2 linked regions of the Coturnix japonica genome follow. The protein of the gene in region 2 purifies or fractionates together with the protein of the main gene of each other region. This does not show direct contact. Links are inferred from orthologs where the notes say so. Each region holds a gene or a part of one and is shown on either strand. Other genes may lie near its edges.

Region 1 (3,520 bases), on a different chromosome or scaffold from region 2:
CTTTCTTGTTCCAAGCAATTGCTGAGGTCTGGAGCTGGATGGTTTCAGAGCACACTCCAGTCTTGTTAATTCATCTTGTGAAAATGGCTTGGATTGCAATCATATCCCTTCAAATGAAGGATTAGAAGGTGTTCAACTCTTAATATTTTTGAAATGGAGGAAACACTGAAAGAATATTCAGCCTCAGTTGTGTTAAACGATACCTGCTTTAATGTGATTGGTCTGGTTGTTCTATTTTACCTAGGAGACGTTTCATACTTATAATGCACATTAGTAGTAATTATTGCTTTAAATTGCAGCATTTTCAGGTGTATTTGAAGGCAATAAGTAGACCTCAGAATATGTGAGGCTATATATGGGGTGAAGTTCCATGTCCTTAAAATCTTAAGGTGTTATCCCCAGGTTAGACACTACTATAAACTGAGCAGCTAATGGTGTCTGAGCGGAGTATCTGTGTGTTCGTGTTAAGGTACTGCTCTTAGCTTCTGAGGAAACAGACATGTCAGTTCCTGATGCTTGAATGTACAGCTGTAGCTACCAGCCATTTCCATTTATGCCAGGTGAACTCAGTGCAGGGGGGAAGAATTTTGTTCTGATCCTATTGCCCATCTAAATTCACATCTACTGTTTGAATATCATTGACTTTCTGCTTTTATCCATATGAACTGCAATGTCAGCATCGGGAGGTGAATACTCTTGGTGGGGCGTAAAAATTTGATGCTTGTGAACAAAGTAAAGTTATTTTCCCCCTCTTTTATAATATTACAGGTGCATTTTAATCGTGATGGATCCCTGATAGTGTCAAGTAGTTATGATGGACTCTGGTAAGTGGTTGTTTCTTGTCTGCTTCAGTGTTCAAATCTATTGCACTTTGACGAAAGATTAATGATACTAATAATAAAGCTTATAGTGGTAGTAATGAGTCCCATATGTTTTTTATAGTCGAATCTGGGATACAGCATCAGGACAGTGCTTGAAAACACTCATTGGTAAGTAGGAATGCTTCTTGTTTGTGCTTCATTCTTTGTTGTCCAGCTGTGATACAGACATACTGCATCATCACAGTGAGCATTGACTTCCTTAACCTCTATTTTTCTGTTTCAATGCTGTTCCATTAGCACACTGTTGTCTTTGTAGCTATGACAGTTAATAGGAGCTATCCTCTTGCATATATGGGATCTTGCTTAACCTTGGAGTGTTCTGTAAGTCTAGATGCTGGATGAAAGACTTCCAAAGTTTTCTATCATTCAGTTCTGTAATGATTGCTGTGCAGCGGCTCAGAACTGTAACAACAAAAGTGTTTGTGCTGCTGGATATGATGGAAACAGTCTGTGACTGAACAAGCTGCCTGCTTTTATTGCTGATGACATAAGGCATCTTGTGAGCAAAGCTAATATAAGGAAACCACCTATAAGGCATATGTTCCCAGTCTTTCATATTCTTATGAAGTTTTTTATAAGTGCTTTATAAAGCTGACATGGCACTGCAGATTGGTGATAGATGTATACTCTGTGTTTAAAAAAACACTTTATTACAGATATGTTTTAGATGGAAGGAATGAAAAGGTCATTTAAAATGCCTGTGAGCAAAATGTTTAATATCCTTTTATTGAAATACTGGAAACAGTCACCTTCTCACACCTGTATTGCTTGAATAACCAAAGGATAACAAAACTGAAAGCTTTAAACAACAGATTACTGTCAAAAGAAATTCTTGGGCAATGAGACAATAATACTGTTCAACAATCACTTTAATAGGAACTATTTAACAATCACTTTATCTTCATTTCAGATGATGATAACCCTCCCGTGTCTTTTGTGAAGTTCTCCCCGAATGGCAAATACATTCTTGCTGCAACTTTGGACAAGTAGGTATTATAAAATAAATAGAAACCCACCATCTTTGAAGTGTTAATAAATATCAGATGAAACTTTAGTTTGCTGCTCGTTGCCTGTCATGATAATGACCCTACACAGGTGCATACATACTGCCATATTATATCCAAATAAAATTCAGTAGCTTGCTTATTCTCTTTCTATGATCTAGCTTATGTTTGAGCTGTCTTCAGAGGGTTTCAATCCTTTGTTTACTTGCCTGATGGATCCCAGTGCAAGACATAAAAGTTAAGAGCTGGGGGTAATGATTGTATTGGATGGGTATAATTGTAGGGCTGTCCCTATTTCCAGATGGGTTTCTCTTCCTGTGAAAGAATGCAGCCTCCATAAAGGGGGAAATTACGAATGGCATGTTGGTAACAACTGATACTTTGGGGTTTAACTAAAGCTGCATTCCAAAGCTGGGCTAAAGTGCCCCTTGTAGACTTTAAGAACTCGGGTATGGAGAAACTGTCTGCTACTAGGAAACTGCTGATAAAACACAAGAACTCAATCTTTGGTTTTCTGTTCTTTTCTAGCACTCTTAAGCTTTGGGACTACAGCAAAGGAAAGGTAAAAACAATCTTGTCTTGCTTTGTAGACTTAATATCTTGGAGAATCTGGGCTTTATATGTGTTTATTAACCTTGCTTTACATTTAGTGAGTTTTCAGCAAAAAAAGCATTAGTAACCCTTTAATGGGGTTCTTTCAAAGATACCTTTGGATGAGGGGGGTACAAAGGCTTGTGCTCCTGCATAGCCCCATAACACTGAAAGCAGCTGTGCTTCTGTGTTTCTGTCAGTCAGCATGAAATTTCTCTTGCTGGTTTTCTCTCTGGGGGAAGTGACAAATTGAGGCCTTTCTTCTTTTCCTTCTTAGCTGAAAGTTCTATAGTGTTGTAGGGCAGAGATGCCTTCTGCATCCTCTAGATAAGCTTGCAGGGTGGGAAGCCTGGGCGGATATATTTGATGTGCTGTGACAAGAGAGTTTGTCCGTGGCTGTGAGAAAAGCCACCTCTCAACTGTGCCTGTGCCTTGTGGTTCTTCTCTTTCAGTGCCTGAAGACGTACACAGGACACAAAAATGAGAAGTACTGCATATTTGCCAATTTCTCTGTTACTGGTGGAAAGGTTAGTGTTTATTTGGGCTGCTTTTTACTGACGTGCTGTTCTTTCTGCTGTTCTCCATGGGACGTGTAGGGCTGATGTGATGCCAAACATCAGTCTGCTATCTGAGGGTAGGGTGGTGGAAAGCATCAACAGAGGTTGAACTCTCGTATAGAACCACCTCAGCATCTTTCACTCCTTTAGCTGTGTTGGACCTTCCTTCTAATGTAGCGATAGTGAAGTGTTTGGTGAGTAGTTGCAGCTGGATATAGATGAAGAGAGATTAAAATGACTTTCCTCTCTCCCTCCAGTGGATTGTATCCGGTTCAGAAGACAACCTGGTTTACATTTGGAACCTTCAGACAAAAGAGATTGTACAGAAATTACAAGGGCACACAGGTAGGAAAGAGCGTTCTGTCTTTATTGATAGAATATCCTTCATGTCAGCTTGCAATGAGGGCTTAGCATTGGAGTTTTCTTGCTTCTGCTGTCAGACCTACTAAATCTTGCCTGGCTGAGGCTTAATCTAACCCTAAATGTT
Region 2 (3,988 bases):
TCCCTCACAAGCAGTGCTCAAGAACCCTCTCCCCAGGCCTCTCTCCACTCAGCACAGGAGAGTCCAGTGCATGCAAAGTGTACCACACATGTTGTGAGGCACAGCAAAGAACTCACGTGTTTGAAGCAGCTGACTGGAGCTGCCTTGAAGCCATGTTCCTGCAGGTACTTTCCCCAGTCAAAGCCCAGGACTAGTGCTAGGAGCAGACAAGAGAAGAAAGTAAGGCAAAGAGGTTTATCTAAAAGGCACACAGTACTCAGTTACCTCCGGGCTACAACAAGGGCAAAGCACTCTGTCCCAGAGAGCATGGACTCTGTATTTGAGTGCCTTTTCCCTGAAGAGGAACTAGATCCCACAAATGGTGTCAACTTGCTCTTGAGAAATGGAGCTGGGGGGGTATCTCTGGGGCCACAGCATCTCAGAGAAATCAGAGTGAAGCATGGGGCTATTAGTCTTACAGTTACCCCTTCTAAAGATATACCTCCTCATGACTAGCCTACACTCACCGTCCTGGCCTGTCAGAGTCCCATCTGCGAGCTGCCCCGTGCCCTGTGAATGGAGGAAGGCCCCGATCTTGGCAGACCAGGCTGCCTTGTGCAGGACTTTAGCTTTCTTTGTTGGTGGCTTCCCCTACAAAAGAAGGAATATTAGTGGAATAGGAAGGGAGAGAAGCTTGCAACTGGACAGGAGGAGGCACACATCTCTCCAGGGATGATTTACAGATTACTATTAGTGCTCTCAGGAACCAGAAGATACAACAAATAAAATATAACTATGCCCTTCCCCAGCTTCTAGAAAACAGCACTGCACAGTTGGTATGCTTTTCTCTGGGGGCTTCAAGCAGAAATAAACCACTGGTAATAGCAGTCTGAGACCTCACAAGACAGCAAAAATCCATCCCTCTACATGGGCTTTCTACTCCACCCCTGGGGAAGGAGGGATTTTGACTCACCTGCAGTCTGGCCAGAATGCTGGCCTTCTTGGAGTTGGATGAATAGCTTCTAGAGCATGATACACTGCAGAAACGTTTGGTCTTGGAGAAAAAAGCCTCCCTGGTTCCCACAATCCCACACATCTCGCACACAGCTGAGTGGAAAAGCACAAAGATACAAGCAGTCAGCAGGACCAGTGCTTTATAAGTGACAGATCTAAGCCCAGGAAATCCCCACTACACATAGCAGCTCCTCCATGTATTACAGAACATGCATTATCAGTTCAGTTCTGCTCCCAGAGCATGCTTTGGTTTCCTCCAGCTCTCATTCTTACCATCATACACAGGAGAACGGGCACTACCTGGCTCAGAGCCGCTGTCTTCTGTGATCCGGCTTGTGGGTGGCTGGTGCACAGGGGAGAGTGGAAGACCTCTGACTTCCCGATCTGCCACCTCATCATCACTAGACTCTTCCAGGCAGGAGCTGCTGTCACTGCCCATGCTGCTGTTGTAGCTCCGGAAGCTGTCATAGCCTCCAAACATGTCCAAGTCATCATCCTCCTCTTCTTCCTCCTCCTCCTCCTCACCTTCCACCTCCGCCTTCTCCAAAGATGAAGTTTTGTTGCAAATGGAAGACGCTGCCTGACAAAACAACCAGTCTGCTTTAAAACAAACACCTTATGCCAAATGTTTACTAGCTTGTCTTCACTGCTGAGAGGACGTCTAGACCCAAGAGAAGCCTTGGACTGTGCAAGAAATCCACGCAACAATCCCAGATTCAGAAATCTAAAGAATCACAGAAGCATAGAATGGCCTGGGTTGAAAAGGACCTCAAAGATCATCCAGTTTCAACCCCCCTGCTATATGCAGGGCCGCCAGTCACCAGACCAGGCTGCCCAGAGCCACATCCAGCCTGGCCTTGAATGCCTCCAGGGATGGGGCATCCACAGCCTCCTTGGGCAACCTGTTCCAGTGTGTCACCTCCCTCTGTGTGAAAACCTACCTCCTCATCTCTAACCCTGTTTCAGTTTAAAACCATTCCTCTTTGTCCTATCACTGTCCAGACTCAAACAGTTGTTCTCCCTCTTATTTATGTGCTCCTTTCAAATACTGGAAGGCTGCAATGAGGTCTCCCTGGAGCCTTCTCTTCTCCAAGCTAAACAAGCCCAGTTCCCTCAACCTTTCCTCACAGGAGAGGTGCCCAACCCTCGGATCATCTTAGTGGCTCTCCTCAAGCCGTCAAAGCCACAGCGAGCTTTCCACAGCGTACCGAGCTACAGGCTCCGGCCACCAAAGCTCACAAAACTAATACAGACTAAACATCAGCTGGACCAGCTTTCTCCAGAGTTGAATTTATAACGAATTGTGATGACGGACCAGCAGCAAATCCACCTCCTTCGCAGCCCTTTCTGCGGACGCTCCTTCCTTCAGCTCGCAGGAAGCGAATAACTCGGGATCGCTGCTCCGGAACCAAAAGAGCCCGAAAGCTGCGATGCATCCCCCCCCGGCGGCGCCCCCTCCGTCACTCCCTCCCCCAACACCCCACTGACGCCACATCGGGCTCCACACAGGGAGGCGAACCGCCCCCCCGCAGCCGTTAAACGGCCGCCACAGCCCGGGCCGCGCGTCTCCCGTGGAGCACAGGGCGGCCCAGCCCCCCCCAGCCCACGCTGCGGGGCTTTGCAGAGCACTGCGCGGCTGTGGCAGCAGGAGGCCTCTCGCAGTGCGGTACCGCCCCGGCCCCGCCGCCGCTCACCTCCCCTTGCTGCTGTTGCTGCTGTTGCTGCTGTTGCTCCTGCTCCATGGCTCCCAGGACGCTTGCCCGCCTCACGCGCGTGGAGCACTACCTCCCCCGCAGCCGCGCACCCGATTGGCCACAGACGGAAGAAAATGAGCCAATCGGAGAAGAGCTTGTTCCCGCCTCACTCCCCGCGGGGCACGACGGGAGGCGTAGTTCTATTTCCGCTAGAAGGGGGCGGGGCGTGGCCCAGAGCATGATGGCGGCCTTACAGGGACCTTACGGCGTCCCGGGCTCCATCAGAGAGGGGTGGCCAGCAGGGACAGGGAGGTGGTTGTCCCTCTCTGCTCTGCTCTTGCGAGGCCCCATCTAAGTACTGCATCATGGTATGGAGCCCCCAGTACAAGAAAGACAGGGAGCTGCTGGAGGGGGTCCAGAGGAGGGCACAAAGATGGTCAGAAGGCTGGAGCACCTCCCTTATGAAGACAGGCTGACATCTTGCCATCAAATACACCTTTCTATTCACAGCTTATGCTCCTGTGTTAGACCAATCATCGTACTTGTATCTGAATATCAAGCTTTTTATTCCAAATTTCATACAGCCACGAACATCTGTCCACTTTGCAATAGACCATGGCTTTTGTTTGGCACTTGACTGAGATTCCCGTGCAGACAGGCTCCTCACTCCATCATCTTCCATCCATCTTTTCCTGAAGGCAGCTTGCTCGTGTCATTACCTGGGCTTGGTGGACACAGGGACAATCCCAACGCCTGTGCTGTGCTCTGGCCACAGCCAGATCTTCAGGTGCACAAAACACAGGTACAAGTTACTCCCCACACACCCATGGGGTAAAGCTGTGCTCTGGGAAGCCCTCCCTGCCTACTCTGCACATATGGCTCGCAGGCAGTGAACGACACACCAGGTTCAACAGCACGTGCATGCAGTTACAGCTGGCACACACAACTGGCTTTGCTACACACACGCTCCCTAGTTGAAGCATTTCTGTACAGGACATCCCCCAAATAGGGGAATGTGCTTGAATTAAGAGGCAGCCGCCTGCACGCACTGCTGTCAGGTGAGATCAAGAGCACTTCAGCCTTTCCATGCTAAGTGACCTCAAGCAGCCCATAAGTGGGTGCAACAGCATTAATGGGGCACCCATCAGCTACTGCAGCACAGCATCTACAGAATATCCACACCAGGTTCTCTCTCAGGCTCACACTTTGGTGCCAAAAGCTGAACAATGTATTCCAAGTGAAATAGGATCTTTTAATATCACATATCCAAACAATAGTTCTCATTTCAAAATGCAAAATAG

What was found. Proteins that work in one complex are often made in the same cells at the same time.
Region 1: the proteins of L3MBTL2 (region 2) and WDR5 purify together in Homo sapiens (affinity purification with mass spectrometry; 4 studies listed by BioGRID and IntAct, counting the BioPlex papers as one, with this or other methods). This does not show direct contact. The link is inferred for Coturnix japonica from reciprocal best matches to the Homo sapiens genes L3MBTL2 and WDR5.

The regions. Positions count from the first base shown.
Region 1 is NC_029532.1:5,725,707-5,729,226, forward strand, and holds part of WDR5 (WD repeat-containing protein 5), read left to right. Parts: intron 1-768; coding exon 769-824; intron 825-942; coding exon 943-989; intron 990-1,791; coding exon 1,792-1,867; intron 1,868-2,413; coding exon 2,414-2,447; intron 2,448-2,928; coding exon 2,929-3,003; intron 3,004-3,290; coding exon 3,291-3,378; intron 3,379-3,520.
Region 2 is NC_029516.1:45,392,513-45,396,500, forward strand, and holds the start of L3MBTL2 (lethal(3)malignant brain tumor-like protein 2), read right to left. Parts: upstream 2,819-3,988; 5' UTR 2,736-2,818; coding exon 2,688-2,735; intron 1,574-2,687; coding exon 1,267-1,573; intron 1,087-1,266; coding exon 953-1,086; intron 631-952; coding exon 507-630; intron 197-506; coding exon 117-196; intron 1-116. UniProt on the Homo sapiens protein: Putative Polycomb group (PcG) protein. PcG proteins maintain the transcriptionally repressive state of genes, probably via a modification of chromatin, rendering it heritably changed in its expressibility.